Caenorhabditis elegans: one gene and its partners. The protein of the gene in region 4 interacts with the protein of the main gene of each other region in a pairwise test. Each region holds a gene or a part of one and is shown on either strand. Other genes may lie near its edges.

Region 1 (3,668 bases), 6.7 Mb from region 4:
ACGTGTAATAACTACCGACAGATTTAATGCATAATGAATGATGATTTATTTTAAACAAGAATAGGGAATTATTCTTCAATTTTTTAAAATAATTTTTCTATTAAAAAGTTTTAATGGTTTTTTCGAAAATTCTTATTGCAAACACAATTTTAAAACCAAAAATTGTAGTTTCTTACTGATAATCTAGATAACAAAAAAGCAAAGTAGAATAATCACGTGGAGTCAAAAAGTCCCATTTTGCTTTGATCTTCGAAAAAATGCGGGAGAAGTGACGCAGACATCTGATCTGATTTCGCATGGTTAAGACTGTGCTGACGTCACAATTTTTCTGGGAAAATATTCCCGCATTTTTCGTAGATCAAACCGCAATGAGACAGCCTGACACCACGTGAATAATCTGTTTTGTTTTAATAAATAAGTATTTAATAGATACAATTAACTTTTTGCAGGTAAAAATCTGGTTCCAAAATCGTCGTATGAAACACAAAAAAGAGGCAAAAGGAGAAGGTGGAAGCAATGAATCAGATGAAGAATCAAATCAAGATGAGCAAAATGAACAACATTCTTCTTGATTTTCACTTTTTTTGGTCAGAATCTAATTTGAATTTCTTTTTACCTCGTTTCCGGTCGCTTTTCATTGTTTTGCTCCCATTTTTGTCATTTTCCTTTGATTTTTTGCATTCTTCATCGGTGATATATTGCTTTTAAACGACCTGAAAGGATTCCACGCCCTTTCGACGGGTCTTTGTTTTTATTGATTATTTCTCAATTTCTTCCTTTGCTTCTTTGGGATTTGATGATCTCAACCTTTGTCTCGAAAATTGTTTTTTACACACTGCTAGCCTATTTTTTGATTTTTTTTTCTTGAAAATTTTTCTACAGTAACATATCTGTTTGCTTTGATTTTTGGAGATGAAATTGATCTGTCATTATGTTTCACAGAGGACCTCACAAATTGAAGGACATTTGTGAAACGACACATATTTCACTGTGCCAGATGCAAAAGAAGATTGTTGATATACCATGTAGTTATAAAAAAGTGAACTGAGTTACGTCACACTAAAAAATTATATCGTCGATTTCTAATGAACATAAGAATCTGTAAAACTGGGCCACAAAGTGTGAATATGTACTGGATGATTGGTAGTAAAGCTTCATTGATTGCCTCCAAATAATACCTTAGTAACACTTGAAACTTTAGAAATAATTATATAAACCTGAAAATATCTTTTCTACAGTACCTCGCAAAGAAACTGCAGGTTTGAGATGTCCAATTTCTCGGAAAGTTGATTAGCTTTTTTAATTTTTTTAAAATTTAGTCATTGATTCACTGGTACTAACTAAATATCTCTGTGAAAATAAATGTATTTTTTGTTACTCATCTTTAAAAATTCGTCAACCAGGTTTATTCTTTTGCAAGTTCAAATATTTGTATATACTTTTGCAAGTTCAAATATTTGAGCAATATTGACTCCTTTTTTTATTAAGGAGTCAATATTGCTCAAATATTTGAACATTGGCATTATTTTCCGAAGTAGAAACATAATTAAATACTTTATGCGTTTTAGAAGGATCTATCGATGGTAAATAGTATAAATGCTGCATTTCGAACAAATAGTCAGCGAACTACGGTAGATGAGAGAGTACGCAATGAACATAATGCATTCTAATTTACGCACATTAGATTTTTTGTAATCTTTTTTTTTTCGTCAAACTTTGCAAAGTTATCGTTTTTCTAGCGGACAAATGACTTTTAATTTAAAAATTATTTGATTTTTTCGACTTTTTGAGTTTTAAAAATGTTTAATTTCAGCAAACTCTTCAAAATGGTCGCCGCAAGCAAGGAATTCGTGTTTCATCACACTTTCAAGGATGTTTCACAATTGGAAGATGGCGATTTTTTTAAAAGCCCCGAAGAAATTCATTACAATGCGGAATGGTAAGTCTTATCCAAGTCATAGATTACATAAAATATCTTTAGTTTCAGGTTTATATTGGTTATTCGCACGAAAGATCAACTGGAAGCGTACCTACACTGTGACAATGAGAAAGATGACAACGTCGCCTGGACAGTCGACGCCGAATTCAGCTTAAAAATAGCTTCATCATCAGGAAGTTATGCAATGAAATTCCAAAAGGGATGTTTCGATGGATTTGGACTGGGATGGAATGATTTTGTCAGTTGGGACTCATTGACAGAAGATTTTCTATACGATAATAGTTTTACTATTGAAGCATGTGTGAAGATCACAAAAATGACAGGATTCTCGAAAGATGTGCTCAGAAGCTTCGATGAATCAGAAAAAAGATTTTCCGATGTGATCCTTGTAGTTGGAGACGAGAAGTTTTATGTTTTGAAACTAGTAGGTTTTTTTTACAATCGAATTTTCCATTCAATATTCAATATTTTTCAGTTCCTGGCGTCTCATTCTTCATATTTCAATGCACTTTTTCTTGGAAAATTCAAAGAAGCCGATCAATCAGAGGTTACACTCCAAAACATCGATCCGACCGATTTTCAGAGCCTTTTGGAGGTTCTATATGGAGAACCTGCGATTGATGGTTAGATATTGAATTGATTTTAAATTAAAATAATTAAATTTTCAGATGGTACCATCGATGGAGTTCTTCTACTTGCCCACATGCTCGATGTTACCTTGGCAATTCGAAAATGCGAGGAGTTTTTGATCGAAAAGTCGATGAAATCGATGAGAGAGCTGTTAAAAATGGCTAACCAATATCAGCTGGAGAATTTAAAAGTAAAATTTTATTTTTTGAAAATTCCTGAAAACTAAAATAAATTTTGATTTTCAGACCGTTTGTATCTCGAAAATCAACACGATCGATGAGATTGAAGCTGCAATGGCTTATAATCCGGAAGAAATGGACCCGATTGTGCTGGCGACTCTCCTCAAAAAATCCACGGCTCTTCATCGATCTGCGATTTCTGATTCAGTATAATCATTTTTTTCCTGTTTTAGCGCTAATATATTATTGTGATTTAGTCTTTGATTCGCTGGTACTAACTAAATATCTCTGTGAAAATATATGTATTTTTCTTTTACTCATCTTTAAAAATTCGTCAACCAGGTTTATTAAGGAGTCAATATTGCTCAAATATTTGAACATTGGTCTTATTTTCCGGAGTAAAAACATAATAAAAAAACTTTATGCGTTTTAGAAGATTGAAATTGACTGAGTTGGTCAATGGCACAGTCTCCTCCGATGGAAATTTGCATTAGCGCGCACTTGCATTTTTGTTATTTTCATGAATTATTTTGCACTGAAAAAAATGATGGTTTTTTGTGACTTGAATTTCTCTTCGAAACGGTGTTTTTACGTTTTCATTTTAGGTATCAAATGTTAAGCAGGAAAAAAACTGTTTGTTGCATCATTTTGGGAATTTTTAATGAAAAACTGAACGCGCTGATACAAAAATTGTCAACAATTACACTCGAAAGTTAGAAAAAAAAAATTATTTTTTATATTCTTTTCGGTTATTAACGCTCTGTGCATGTAAAAATAGTTTCTAATTGTTATTCGCATGTCTGGCTACAATATGGTCAATTTCGGATGGATATCAATGCTTAATTTATGGTTTCATTACGATTTCACGGAACAGCCTGGCCAACAGTTTTCTGAAATAGGGAAAAATGCTCAAAGAAGAT
Region 2 (5,669 bases), on a different chromosome or scaffold from region 4:
CAAAATTATAAAAATTATTTAAAATTTTATTTGCACTCTGTTATAAATTTTGAAAATACTCAAATTGTGAAAAATTGTTATGATGCAAATTTTCCAAATAAAAAAAACTGAGAATGAATTAAATTTCTTTAATTTTGAAAAAAAAAATGTTTTTTCTCCAAAATTTCAATTAACCATCAAAAAAAGTTCAAAAAAATTTATTCAACATGATTAAAGTATAAAATCGTAAAAATTGGAAAGAAAAATGTGGCTATTACGCAAGTGGTTCAAGAGACAAAAAAAAAGTACAAAATATCGATAAAACAACACAGGAAAGCTCGTAAAATGTGTAAATCGAGTGTAAAATACAAAAAAAAAGAAATTTATAAACCAAAAAAAATTGAAAAAAAATCCGTAGTGTTCTGTGGTTATCCATTCCGAGTCATGGAAGGATATGCTATACAGATAATTAATATTTTGAGGCGGGGGCGGGGGGGGGGGGGGGGTATTCTACATTATAAAAAAAAATTAGAACAAAATATAGTTTTTTTTTCAGAAAAAAAATCCAAAAAAAAAATTTTTTTAATTTTTAAATTTTTTAAAATGTTCTGATTGTAAGGGGATTTTCAACTGAATTTTTTAAGCTTTTCATCACATTTTTGAAGAAAAAAATCAAAAATAATTTTATTACGTTTACACTGTGCATATCTAGTCGTACTCGAGATCAGAATTTTCCAACTCATTTGGGTGGCGCCTGAAAAAAAATCAGTTATTAGTTTTTTTTTTTTTTAATTAAATAGATTAAAATTGGCTTATTGAAAAAATGTGTTTTTTTTGTAATTTTTAAATATTTTCAAACATTTAAACTTGAATTTAAAGTTTTTAAATACAATTCTCACCTCTGTGGAGTATCTATTCGGCTAATAGTGACGTTGATTCCAAGGTTTCCGTTTTCTGAAAAAAAAAGTTGATTTTTGTTGAGGGTAACTTTTAAAGTTTATATTCCGGAACTGACAAAAATTTTGCTACTAAAGGTCGATGCACCATATCTCGCCCAACTTTAAAAACTTTTCAAAAAAACCTCTGCGGATTTCGGTTTTTATTTTTATTTTTTAATAGACACTTTGTTAATATCTTCAAAAATTGACCGAGTTTATCAATCTTAGAAATTTTTGGTCGATGCACCATGTTCAAAGGAAACTTAATTTTTTTGGATTTCTGGTTCTATCGAAAAAGTTCCAACTCACAAAATATTTGTTCTCGTGTTTTATATAGTTTAGCGGTTACATTTTTGTTAGCATTCACACACTTAACCGGGGTATCGGCTGTTAAAACTATTTCGGTCGATGCACCATGATGCACTCAACTATTCCAGCTGTATCCCTTGTCTAACAAAGTTACCAAAAAAATTGTCAACTCACAAAAAAAGCTGTTTTTGCTCAGTTTTAACAAAAATTGAAAGCTCAGTTTTAACAAAAATTGGTAATTTCCGATTAAGATAAAAGCAAAAGTCAATGCTCACCTGCAAAAAGCTGTGCAGCATTTGAATCGAACGCTAGGCAATCCGACTGTTGAATGGCCACTACCACCCCCTCGTGGATGCTTCTCGGTGTGGCTTCCCATGACATTCTCCGGCGGCTCGCCGATAGCTCAAGCCGGTACACAAAGTTATCAGCTTCCTTCTTCGAGCCAATCAGCTGAACGACTGCGTAGAACATCTGAGTTGGCTGAGCTGGATCGTACTTTTCCTGCTTCTCGAGCACCAACATAAAATTATAGTCAAAGCAGCTCTGCATCATAACCCAGTCAACTGCTCCAGGAAGATTGATGTCAGTGGCCAGGAAGACGATATCCTCGCCTTGAAGCGTCGTGATGCTCTTGTGGATCTTCTTCAAATGCTCCATCACATCCGACAAGCCTCCCTGCCACTTGCAGCTAGCTCCAGGGCACGGGCAGCAGTAGGGTCGGAATTCGCAGAGCTCCTCGTGCTCGGTCTTATCAGCGTGATGGAAGTTCAGGGGGCAGCCGGACGTAGAGAATTTGCATGGAAAGCGGACGGTGTTGGCGATCTTCTCGAGGCCCAGGTTGCGGACAGAAGCTGTAAGATTGAAGGTTTAGTCTTGAAATTTGAGATATACTCTGAAACTTTGAAGATCCGTAGATCCTTGATTCGTTAGCTACATTAGAGAAACAACACAGCTAAAATGCTTAGGCGCTCGACTGAGACAGATCGATCAACCAGAAAGGATCTTAGTCTTCTATCATATCAGCTCTGCTCAAGCTGTGGTAATTTTTTCAGCTTTGACTAAACTCTTCTAGTCACGCAATTTTCAAATTTCAACTTCAAAACTCACGAGTTGGACCCCGACAAGTCGGGCAGCACTGAAGCTTTGGTCTGCAGTTCGAGCAGACAAGATGTCCGGATGAGCACTGCATGTATGGTGGCAGCATGTACTCCAGGCATACCGGGCACTCAAACACCGACAAGATCTCTGCACTGCTGTCGTCGGTGGCTCCACCGCCGCCGATTGGAATATGTGGTGCGACGCTTTGGATTCCTTGCGCGGTCGTCGTTGTGTTGTGCGGTACTGGAAAATTTTACATTTTAGCGTTACAGTTCTGAAAATCAAGAAAAACTCACTACTTCCCGGGGGATTACTCTGAACTCTGGCCATCGTTTTGCCAAGCACTGCGGTTCCAGAGATTGTTGACACTGCAGACGGTGGCGATGCCGACATCCGAGGTGTCAATCCGATTTGACATTGCTGTTGTGTGATGCCTGGCGGGACCGGTGGAGGGTTGCCTGGAAAGTAAAATTTAATGGTGCTAGTTCTGGGCTCCAAGATATAGTTTCACACTTACTTCGCTCATTGAGCCAATTTTCAATACACTCAATAATAAGCGCATTCACTACGCAGCAGCAAGAACGCATGTGGGGGAAAATGCGATCATCATGAAGCGAGCGAGCTCTCCGAGAGAGTTTTCAGCAGGTATATAAAAACTAGGGAGGGGCTCCGAAACACCGCTTTACGATGCATATGTCGATTATAACACAGAGATAGAATAGCGAGTTTTCTCTCGGGGGTGGGAGTAAAGAGGAAATGTTGAGTGACTTTAATTGGTGTCGTTTTGGATGTGGGGGGGGGGACTAATGACTGGTGAGCACGCATGGTTGGAGAAAGCAGGGGATTTGGGCTCCGGCTTAAAGGTTTGGCTGGCTGAAGGTAGTGGTGTGTCGGAAAAATCACGTGGTGTCAGAAAAAACCCCTGCCATCACGGTTTGATCTACAAAAAACGCGGACTTTTTTTGCGTAAAACTTTCTTAAGCCAAATAAAATGAGAACTATGCGTCTCAACTCGTGCATTTTTTGTAGATCTACGTAGATCAAACCGAAATAGGACATTCTGGCACCAAGTGAAATGCTGAAACAGTGATCTTTTAATCATGTCTCAATTAATAATACTCAATAGAAATTCAAAAGCCGACTCTCTTGATTCCGTTGGACAATTAAGTCCTTTCTTTAATTTTGGGCCGTTTCTAAGTTTCGGGGATGAGCAGGCTTTCAAACAAGACTCAAAGTTTTCAAAAAAGTCTCACCATTTGAGTGATTAACCATATCTTCGACTAAAGAATTGCTAGTCTGATGTCTGGATAGATGATTCGCTTGCGGAGCCGAATCGCTACTATTATTATCGTCCTCCTCAAAGATGAGCTGTGTACGACGAAGAGACTCGATCACGTCCTGATAGTCTCCTCCTCCTCCACCACCGTTCCGATTACTCATCAGCGAAGGCAGTCGAGATGACGAGGACGACGATGTTGGAGGTGGTGGGTGGTTCGGTGTCTGCGGATGCCGCCGTCTTCCCGTCGTCTCTGTAATTGGTGAGTTGGTGATAACGAATTGTGAGTGTTTTGTTGTTGTCACGTGAGAAATAGTCGCTGGAGGTCAAATTGTGAGGAATTACGAAGAGAGTAAAGTTTTTAGAATAGGTTTGTTGAATCAGGAGTGGCACGGGGTCTCACATGGTCCCATTACGATTTGATCTACAAAAAATGCGGGAATTTTTCGCCCAAAAAATGTGACGTCAGCACATTGTTAACCATTTGAAATCAGTTGGGAACTCTTCGTCTCAACTCCCGCATAGTTTGTAGATCTACGTAGATCAAACCGCAATGAGCCACTTTGACACCACGTGGCAATTTTTTTCCGGCAAATTGCCGATTTGCCGTTTGCCGGAAATTTTTAGAGGGATTTTTTAATAAGACGGAAGCACTTGAAACAGTGTCATTTTGAAAGTTTTTTTTTCCCGTTTTCTTTAGATACATTCATTGAACTTGCTTACTTTTCAAAATAGATGTAGGAACATTCATAGGATGCGTACAATTTTGCCAATTTAAATTAAATTTCTAAAATTTCCAGAAAAAAATGTGGAAAACCACAATTTGCAGAAAAATGTTTGTGAAAATTTTTTGCCGGTTTGCAGTTTTGTCGGAAATGTTCATTTTCGGTAAATTACCGGGAAAGTTGTGCAAAAAAAACAACTGAGGCTCAAATTTTTTAATTAAAGATTTACTAGGAAATTTTGAAAATTTTATATTAAAATTTGAAAATAATCGCCTAAAATCAATGCAATCAAGAACAAAAGATGAGAGATGGGCTAGGAAAATCAATAAGATAAGTAAGGGATAAGGTCCGATTTTCATGAACTTGAATACCTAGTATAGATACTAGATTCAGTAAAACGTGATTGCAAACTATTTGAATAAGTGACTTTCTAAAAATGGAAATTTGAAACATTCAAAAAAAAATGTAATACATTCACAAAAATCACTGAAAAGTTAAATTATGGTTATCTTAAACGAAATAGTGATGAAATCCATGAAGAAAGTGGTAATTTTTTCGGGAAGTATCAATTTTAAGGTTCTATTGTCCACACAGACACTTTATAAATCAAGTCGCAAGCAGAGAACAACAACAAAATCTGGCAAAAGAAAACAACTTTACTATTCGCTTTTTTTTAGCTTTCTCTAAATAATATTTTCAAAACCTAACAAAAGGATTAAAACCCTCAAATTCGACGATTACTTTGCATAAATACACAATAGAAATACGAATAAGAGAGTGAATAAAACGAAGAAAAGAGGCGAAAGGAAGAAAAATATGAAATAAAACGCGTTCTGTGTGCGTACTCTCTCTCTCTCTTTCTCTCTTTCACATCTTTTCACCAACGAATGACTGACCGGGATAGTGTGGGTGGTGGAAGAGACGACAGAGAGACCGACGACGAGATGTGTGGGCTTGTAAGAGAGTCTCTGTGTTTCTCTACCAGCTGACATGCGAATGAGAATGAATCAAATCGATTTTTGAAGAGAGAGAGAGAGAGAGAGAGAGAGACGGTTGGAGGGAAGGGATGGTGAGAGCGATTTTATATGAAAGGCGTATCAGGCACCAATAACCTTTTTAAAGTAAAATTTCAAAAATTGATGGTCATGCACTGTTGGTCATATGGAAAGATCAGCTGTTAGGGTGACTGGTACCCGGGTCAGGTGCTTGTGCTCTCGGTGGTCGATGAGAGGCAGCATAGGGAATGTAGCAATAATAATAAAAAAATAAAGTGACGTTTTATTGAAATTCATATAAGGAAATGTAAGGAAATTATCTGAAGGAAATAATCTCAATAAGGCACAC
Region 3 (4,807 bases), on a different chromosome or scaffold from region 4:
GGACAAGACATTGACATGGAAAGGATATTCGCAGAGGTGCATCATATTCATTCGAAATTTCAACTTCTATTTTAATTTTTCAGGTTCGATAGAAGAATCGCACGGCATATGGACAAATTCACGCGATACGGTGTCTAATCTCGAATTCGTGTAATGTTTGCTCTGGCCGGTGAAGTCAATGCGGAATTTCTCGAACAGTAAGTTGGAAAATCGTAGTTACATTCAATAAAAATAGAAATTAATTTCAGAATGGAAGAAACTGGCAAGGTCAGTCTCGATGACAAAAATCGAATCACCGAATACATCTCGAGAGATTGAGCAATCGTATTGAAAGGAGATCATAGTGTGCCGGCGAAGGCAAGAAGATCATTAAAAAGAAGACGTGATAGAGAAGGGTAACTTTACAGTCTCGTGGATTCAAACTTAAAATCTTAATTATTACAGAACATCAGCTCCAATTGCAGAAGACATGTCGGATGACGAGATGGAAGTTGTGGGATCGGTTCCTGGTGTGCCAAAACCGGAACCAGTTGATCGAACCGCCTACGACGAACTTCTCAACAGACACAGGTCGCGCAATCCGGAAATCCAACAGGCTCCACCAGTGATCGCAGAGGCCCGCAATCTTGCAAATCCCGGATTTGATGAGCCAGAGAGAAAGGAGAATGTGCAGCTGATGAACGTGCAGATGGTCGGTGCTACAACTAATGGATCAAACTCGGATGGAATCAGCCTGCATCAGCTGGTGAAACAATTGGAGGAAATGCTCATCTACCTTGAAAGTGATTTCACTGGCTTAAAAGTCAAAATTTTGCGTTTGTTGGCAATCAGAGATGAGGTACCCGGAGATATACATTATCAACTCTAAAGCAAATACCTTCTTTTCAGCAACTCGATGCACAAGACGTGATCCTGTCCTTGAAGTTGTTCCTCCTTACAACTACACGAAAATTCCGATTGTCCACCGAATCCAGTGGCTACCCGGACTCATCGAAAAAGTGTGGCAAGGCGTTCTTGACGATTCTCAAATTTGTTCTGCTCAAATTGGAGTCTCCACTCATTAACGATTTTCGAAAGGAAATCGACAATAAGATTAAGAATTTTGGAGCCGCTGAAAAGGTATTTGAAATAAAAAAGAGCTGTACAATCAAAAATATCTCTAATTTCAGGTTATCCTCATCGTCGATGCCCAGGAAGCGATCCAGCAAATTCTCATCACATTCTCCAGCTCCTGATGTTCTCCCAACTGCTGAATGTTCCCTATCAGCCGGCGATAATGCACCTAAAGAAATTCCACTGTAACATTTTTTTAAATTCCTTTTTTCCCGTATTTTCCTTTTTTTTCGAATGCTCAATAAATGTTCTTGTTTTAAATACGTTCAGATTAATTGGTTTTTATTAATGTTTAATTCAGTTTTCTATACTTATAACTGGTTTTTTTTTTCAAAAATGAGATCCACTTCTCGAAAAACTTAGAATTTAATTCAAATCGGTTTTCATCCAATTTGCAAAGAAATTTTTCTCGAATATGAATTTCACGTAATTTTGTAAATTTAGTATCGAATTTTGAGCAAATATTTACAGGAAATTCCGAAAAAACCTGTAAAAAGCTGGAAAATCGATGAAAATATTTGCTCGTAAAGTATGATGCAAAGTACGCAAAAACCTTTGCATACTCCGCCATCTACCGTAGTCATTGTCAAATTAATATTGTTCGCTGACGTGCGAAATTGCGTATTTCTTCATAGTTTTACTAAATATTTAAAAATAAGTAATACATATAAATATTTATTTTCAGTGTATAATTTCACAAGAACAATCATGGATTTCAACGAAACACTCGACATGCTCAACAATCCGAACACATTCTCACCGGCTGTCTCGAGTCTTCTCGCCAAGCAGCCTGTTATGCTTGGAGCAGATGATCTTCTCAACCGGACAGTTATCGTTCAGAATGCTCAGAGAGCTCTGAGAAATGAGCATGAACATGTGCTCGTCGCCAACAAAACGATTCTCGTTAATAAACCGATTATTGAGATGAAGGTGCTTCTTGTTTTCCCCCGATTTATTGAAAAATTGCTCGAAAAACGGCGCTGCTCGAAAAAAAAACTGATAAAATCGAGAAGAAATCGCGAAGAAATCTCCCAAAACAAGAACTGCGACCAATCAGCGATTCGCTCCACCCACTTTTTGGCCAATCAGATGGAGTGGGCGGAGTTCGAAGAAACTGATTGGTCGCAGTTCTCCTTTTGGAGGGAATATCATCGCGAGAATTGAAAAAATCGCATTTTTAAAATTTGGACTTTCTCTTAATTTTTCGATTTTTGGAGATTTTCCTGAATTAAAAAAATTAGATTTTTTTAAACCAAAAAAAAACAATTTTTAAACGAAATTTTTACAATTTTACTTCAAACCAATCTCTGAAAAACCAAAAAAAAAAATTTTTTTTTCCAAAAACCCGGAAAAAGAAGAAATTACTCATAGAAAAATTTTGAAAATGTTTTTCCTAAATTTTTGAAAAACATTTTGTTCTTGTTTTTTTTGTCCAAAAATAACTGAAAAAAATTCTAAGAACAAGAAAATTATGGAAAACATTTTTTTGTCCGAAAAAACCGAAAAAAACCGATTTGCCGAAAAAAATCGTTTACCCCTGCAATAAATTTCATCTTTTCAGGGTTTCATGTCGCTGCCACCAGAGATTCCATGCAGTGTCGGAAGTACTCCAAGAACATTCATGTACTACGGAATCGGCGGAAAACCAATCTGCATCACAACTTCCGAACTGGGAAATTATAGCGAAATCACAAGACGCTCATGCCAAAATAACAGTACTCTCCGTCATATTCTCGGCTCAAAGAGCAATTTTCGAGTAATGATTGTATCGACGAAAGTGATTCTTCAAGATCACGAAATCACACTTCCATTTGATAAAAATTGGATTCTATCGGAAACTCCACTGCATTGTGCCACACATTTCGATAAAATGATCGAATGTCCAATGGAAAGCCGTAGAGTTCTTGCCGCGTTAGGAAGAGCACGTATTGCCGAGGAAAAAGAGTTTTGGAGCAAGAATCGGGCTATTGCGAGGAGTTTTACCCCTAGATCGATGGCTAAGGTTATTTCAACAGTTTTTATTGAAGAAACGCGGAAAAAACGGAATTTTTGGGTTTTACACTTAAAGGACGACTAACGGTTCGGACGATTTTGAACGTATAGACCAACAAATTTGCTCAAATGAACGAATTTCGTAATGAAACTGCTCAAAAATTGTTAAAAATTTTTTATGGTGGTTCAAAATTTTTGAAAAAATTACACTGATTTTAGCTAAAATCACGATTTTTTCCCATTTTTCCGTGTCACATTTGTCCGAAGTTGGCTTTTTTGGAATGATCGTCCTTTATTACATATTTTGGTAATAAATCTCATTTAATTTCGTCGATTAAAGAACATTTAAAGCCGATAGGTAACCAATTTTGATGATTTTTGGTTACCTATCGGCTTTAAATGTACTTTAATCGACGAAATTAAATGAGATTTATTACCAAAATATGTAATAAAGGACGATCATTCCAAAAAAGCCAACTTCGGACAAATGTGACACGGAAAAATGGAAAAAAATCGAGATTTTAGCTAAAATCAGTGTAATTTTTTCAAAATTTTGAACCGCCATAAAAAATTTTTGAAAATTTTTTGAGCAGTTTCATTACGAAATTCGTTCATTTGAGCTCATTTTGGGTCTATACGTTCAAAATCGTCCGAACCGTTAGTCCTCCTTTAATTTTTCAGTAAAATGATTAAAAATTGAAATTTTGAGCCAAAAATTTCGATTTCTACTGAAAAACCTGCAAATTTCTATGAATTTTCAGCCTCCACCGCCACCACAAAAAATCACCACCACGGAGCAGAAAACCGCTGAAATAACATCGGCTGACGTGGATTTTTTGCAATTTTTGGCTCAAAAATCGAGCTCCGACGAGATTCGTCCACTTTTTCGATTTCAAATATGTGAAGAGTATATTGATACTTATGAGAATCCATCTTCGGAAAATTATCTCAATAATCGGTTCGTTTTGATCTGAAAAAATGGGATTTTTTCAAGTTTTTTTGTGAAATTTTCAGTTTTTTTGCTTTTTTTCAGAAATTTAGCATTAAAAAATTTAGAAAATTTTTTTCCAATTTTTAAAGGTGGTGTATTCGAATTTTTTTATTGATTTGTTCGACTCAAAATTTTCTGAAAACACCGAATTTTATAATGAAAGTTCTTGAAAACTTCTCAAAAAAAAAAGTTATGACGGCTCAAAAAATGGCCTAAAATCAGTTAAAATTTGAAATTTGGCTTGCCAGCGGCCGGAAACAATTTTTTTTGAAACCACGGTCAAATTTTGAGTATAAAATGTAACTATCTTGCGTTTTCAACTCGTTTTAGGTATTTAAAAGTCGATGGACGGAGAGATTTTTAATTTTTTAAAACCTAATCTCGCCGTCAATCGACTTTAAAATACCTAAATCGAGTTGAAAACGCAAGATAATTACATTGTATACTCAAAATTTGACGGTGATTTCAAAAAAAGTTAGTTCCCAGCCGCTGTCAAGTCAAATTTCAAATTTTAACCAATTTTAGGCCATTTTTTGAGCCGTCATAACTTTTTTTTGAAAAGTTTTCAAGAAGTTTCATTATGAAATTCGGTATTTTCAGACAATTTTGAGTCTAATTAAGCAATAAAAAAAAACTTGACTACACCACCTTCAAACTTTTTAATTAAAAAAAAAAATCGATTCTTTTTCAGCTTCCTCCGCGTTTTGGCAA
Region 4 (4,562 bases):
CAAACTTGCCAAACAAACAAAATTCTACCCCAGTTTGAAGCCAAAGTTTGGCAAGAGTTGGGCCCCCCAACATCTCCAACTTTTGCCCAAGTTAATAATTTTAGGGCCAAACTTGGGCAAGAAGCTAGAGTCAAATACTGAGATTTGTACCAATATCTATAAAATTTAAAACAACATTTGTCTGTGTCGTCATGACAGATTTTTGTTTAACACCCTCTATCATCCTTAGCACATCTTATCAAAAACCTACCCCCCCCCCCCCCCTCAACCAATCCAGTTAATATCCCGGATATCATCATCCTCACCCAAGTACCTCCAGTCTGTTTACCTGGGGGGGATATCGCGCAACGACCACAGATTTCGCATTTTTGATCTCCCGCTGGCTGCTATATCATCTTTATTTGTACTCACTCCCCTCTTGTGTATCTCTATTGTGTGTGTGAATATTGAATATGCTAATGAGCCCCACTCGAGAGTCTTCCACAACAACTGTATAATATCTTTTATATCGATAGTACACCCCCTCTGTTCAAACAAATCTTGTCATGGGGCAACTTTTTATTTGATCTTTCTAAACTTTTTCGCGGCTTACCACCTAACTAGTTTCTAATTGACACATACACTAGAGTTTTAATGAGGTGTTAAGCCATCGAATATTGCATTGGAATGATGATTGGCAGTTGCTCATTTTACGTTTTCAAAAATTGGTGTGCCAGTTACTCTACATTGCGCTTGCTTCTTTAAAAAGGCATAACTCCTTAGAAAATTTTGTTTTTTAATAAATTAAAATAATAAAAATAGATACAAGTCATAGTGTTTGAAATTTTGCACAGTCTCTCAGTTTGCAACTTTTGGCCAAAATTTTTTTCCGCGAAGTAATGCGCCTTTAAAGCTGGGCGAGCCTACTCAAAATGGTCGAGAGTGCTCGATCTTATTTAAAGGCGCATAACTCTTTTGAAAATAATATCTTTTAAAATCTTAATAAATACATCTCATAGTTCTTAAAATTCTGCACGTTTTCCCTGTTAACAAATTGTGAATACCTCCTTCCTCCGTGGAGATATGCGCCTTTGAAGCTGGGTCTACTGCCTTTTCTCAACAGGGTCGAGTGTGCTCGTTCGTGTTTAAAGGCACATAACTCGTATGAAAAGTGCGAATTTTAAAATTCAAACATTTATTTCTTACAGCTCTTGACATTCTGCACATTTTTACCGTTTACAAATTTTTGATACCTCCTTTCTCCGCGGAGTTATGCGCCTTTAAAGCTGAGCTCTACCAGGGGGACTAATTGTTTAAAGGCGCATAACTCGGCGGGTTTTTATGCGTTATAAATTTTTTTTTGTAGTATATAAATTATAGCTCTTATAGCTCTTAAAATTGTGTACACATTTTCTTAGTTGGAATTTTTTTGACCACATTTTTCCAGGCCGAGTTGTGTGACCTATTTTTAAAAATTTTCAAAAAATACCTCCATTGCCTAAATTTTCTAAAAAAAATCCCCAATTTTCGCTCAAAAAATGTACTCTAATCAAAAACTCTACACTTTGCAGATGCAAAAACCATGACGAGCGACACAATTCGACAAACTCTCGACGAGCTGCTACTTGACAAGAATGGCGGCAGCAGCAACGAGGCTCGCGCCTTCTTCTTATCACAAATTATCGATCAGCTGAAATTGATTAGTTCTCAGGTATATTTTATTGAATTGGGCGCGTTGTGGGCTTTCAGAAACGTATAATCATGACTAGGCCACGCCCATATATTGATTTTTGACTCCGCCCCTATTTGAAAATATTGCGAAATTGTGAAAAATCTACTGTAACTTTCTGAAATTAAGATTTAGAAAAGTTTGAGTATTTATTTTGTACTCGGCTAGTTATGAGCTTTCAGAAAGTATAATCATAACTAAGCTCCGCCCACTTTGGTTTAGGCTCCGCCCCCTATTGTGAAATACTTGCAAAACTACAGTAATCCTTACCAAAATGAATAATCAAAAAATGTTTTTAACATTTCTGAATATACCATGCTTTTAGCTTTCAGAAACGTATAATCATGACTAGGCCACGCCCATATATTGATTTTTGACTCCGCCCCTATTTAAAAATATTGCGAAATAGTGAAAAACCTACTGTAACTTTCTGAAATTAAGATTTAAAAAAATTTTGAATGTTTTTTTGTACTCAGCTAATTATGGGTTTTCAGAAACGTATAATTAGGCCACGCCCACTTTGGCTTAGGCTCCGCCCCTTTATTAACTTTTTGACAATGAGATGAATAATTTTAACCTTAAGTTTTCTCTATTTTGCCTAAAAAATTTTTTTTTCCAAAAACTGACTATTTGCCAACAAAAACCTTAATTTCGGCCCCGCCCACTTTGTACTAAACTCCGCCCATTTGTAACTCCGCCCATTTGTTTCAACGTTTTTTCTTAAAAAAAAAAAAAAAAATAATAATAATTCCAGACCGATGCAGAACGACAATTGCAAAAACTACAACTAAAGGATCCCAACGACAATATAGTCAAAGCCACGCCCCCTCCTCCGCCCCCGCCCCCGCCTTTAATTTCAATACTCCAACAGGCGCCTCCACCGCCTCCCCCACCGCCTCCTCCAACCCTAAAAGCTCCACCGCCACCGCCAATTTTGGGCCTGAAAACACCTTCAAAAAGCCTAAAAACGCCCACGCCTCGGCCCAAAGAGTGTCCCACCTCGTTTTTGCCGAAAAAAGAGAAAAAGACGAAAACACGGACGGTTCAGTGGTCGAAAATCAACGCGAGTGTGGTTCAGGACGACAGTGTCTGGGGTAAACTGGCGAAAGCCAGCAATGTGGATATCGATTTTGATCTACTCGACAATTTTTTTGGAATTGAGAGCTTGGCGGTGTCGGGAGCCGCCGAGGTGGTCAAGGTAGGAATTTTGTTAATTTTGTTAAATTTAGATTTTTAGACAAAAACAGTTTTATGAAAGTTTTGGAAAAAAATTATTTGAAAAAAAAATCGATTTTTGAAATTTTCCAAAAAAGTTTTTTTTTTTGGAAGTTTTTTATTTAACAAGATTTCATTCACAAATTAGGAACTTTCTTATTAAGTTTTTTGATATAACATCCATCATGCCTATATTCCGGCTATTTTGAGTTCTGACACAGCTGAAACCGGTGCTACAGTACCCCGCGTGGCGAGACCCAAAACTTCAAATTTGACGGAATGTAGGCGTGTAGGGGGTCATTTTGAAGCATTTGAAAAATTAAATTTAGATTTTTAAACAAAACAGTTTTACAGAAGAGCTTTGGGAAAAAACTATAAAAAAATTTCGAAAAAAATTTTCAACCCAAAAAAACATTTTTTTTTCCTCCTGAAAATTTCAAATTCCTTAAATTTCCAGAAATCTACACGAAAAGACGCCCACGTAGAATTATTAACTGCAAAACGTAGTCAAAACGTGGCAATCATGCTGAAACAGTTCAAAAATATCGATGAGCTCATCGATGACGTCAGCCAAAACAAGCCGGTCGCCGAAATAGATGCTTTGCAGAATTTGTTTGGAATGCTGCCGCAAAGTGAAGAGGTAAGTGAAAATAAATGGGAAATTCGGATTTAGCGCCAAAAATCGATTGGGAATCGATTTTTTTTTCGGCGAAAATTTGGATAAAATTGAATTTTCGAAAAATTTTTTGATTTTTTTGAGATTTTTTCATGAAAAATTCAAATTTCCCCAAAATCTTCAAATTTTCAGGAAGAAGCCCTACGACGATACACCGGTGACATTTCCCTACTTTCTCCTCCATCGAGCTTTTTCTACCGTCTAGTGCAGATTCAATTCTATCGCTTACGGTGAGTATTCGCTGCGAGACCCGATTTTTTTGGATTTTTAAGTGTGAAATTCGAGTTGAGCTTGCTGAGCGCTTCAATTTAGGTATAATCATGACCAGGTTCCGGTAATCCGGAAATTTAGGCGACACCTCTTTTCTTGGCTTATTGTGAAATATTGATTATAAGTCACGCCCACTTTTTGCACTATAAATGGGTACAGCCTAACATTTGCAAATATTTTTGTAAAAAAGTATATCAAGTCTAGGCTCCGCCTACTTTCAAATCCAAACCACGCCCCTTATTGCGAAATAATAGAAAAGTTATGATTTTTTTTGTGAAATTTTTTAGCTAAGCAGCTTTGTCTTAATTTATTTTGCTCAGAATTGAAAAAAAAAATCAATATTAGTTGACTCCGCCCATTTTCAAATCTAAGCCACGCCCCTTTCTTGGTTTATTGCGAAATTATTGCAAAATGGGGAAATTTTTTATGAATTTTTCCATTCGAACAAGCTTGAACTAACTTTATTTCAATTTTTTTTTGTTTAGAATTTGAAAAAATCAATATTATTTGGCTCCGCCTATTTTCGAATTAAGGCCACGCCCCTTTCTTGGCTTATTGCGAAATGCTTGGAAAATTTGGAAAAACTCTGCAAAAATCAATAGTAAAAATTTCAATTTTGCTCTGTTCGAGCTAATTGAATTGAAACTTTTAGAAAAGTATGCTCATTATTAGGCTCCGCCCATTTTTAAATCT

Evidence for each region.
Region 1: the proteins of exc-6 (region 4) and bath-15 interact in a two-hybrid assay, tested with the Caenorhabditis elegans proteins (one large-scale study listed by BioGRID).
Region 2: the proteins of exc-6 (region 4) and siah-1 interact in a two-hybrid assay, tested with the Caenorhabditis elegans proteins (one large-scale study listed by BioGRID).
Region 3: the proteins of exc-6 (region 4) and set-24 interact in a two-hybrid assay, tested with the Caenorhabditis elegans proteins (one large-scale study listed by BioGRID).

What each region holds. Positions count from the first base shown.
Region 1 is NC_003281.10:7,774,173-7,777,840, reverse strand, and holds bath-15 (BTB domain-containing protein), read left to right. Parts: upstream 1-1,807; 5' UTR 1,808-1,826; coding exon 1,827-1,939; intron 1,940-1,981; coding exon 1,982-2,363; intron 2,364-2,414; coding exon 2,415-2,562; intron 2,563-2,607; coding exon 2,608-2,759; intron 2,760-2,814; coding exon 2,815-2,961; 3' UTR 2,962-3,164; downstream 3,165-3,668. Other genes in the region: Homeobox protein mab-5, read left to right, coding at 450-572. UniProt on the Caenorhabditis elegans protein: Probable substrate-specific adapter of an E3 ubiquitin-protein ligase complex which mediates the ubiquitination and subsequent proteasomal degradation of target proteins.
Region 2 is NC_003282.8:3,742,232-3,747,900, reverse strand, and holds siah-1 (E3 ubiquitin-protein ligase siah-1), read right to left. Parts: upstream 3,854-5,669; 5' UTR 3,765-3,853; coding exon 3,578-3,764; intron 2,783-3,577; coding exon 2,621-2,782; intron 2,568-2,620; coding exon 2,334-2,567; intron 2,078-2,333; coding exon 1,502-2,077; intron 934-1,501; coding exon 879-933; intron 734-878; coding exon 688-733; 3' UTR 550-687; downstream 1-549.
Region 3 is NC_003280.10:12,127,960-12,132,766, reverse strand, and holds the start of set-24 (SPK domain-containing protein), read left to right. Parts: upstream 1-1,798; 5' UTR 1,799-1,821; coding exon 1,822-2,043; intron 2,044-2,674; coding exon 2,675-3,115; intron 3,116-3,866; coding exon 3,867-4,063; intron 4,064-4,787; coding exon 4,788-4,807.
Region 4 is NC_003281.10:1,101,663-1,106,224, forward strand, and holds the start of exc-6 (Excretory canal abnormal protein 6), read left to right. Parts: upstream 1-1,545; 5' UTR 1,546-1,561; coding exon 1,562-1,690; intron 1,691-2,462; coding exon 2,463-2,906; intron 2,907-3,380; coding exon 3,381-3,563; intron 3,564-3,731; coding exon 3,732-3,829; intron 3,830-4,562. UniProt on the Caenorhabditis elegans protein: Constitutively active protein required for microtubule and F-actin growth, structural maintenance and organization during excretory cell tubulogenesis.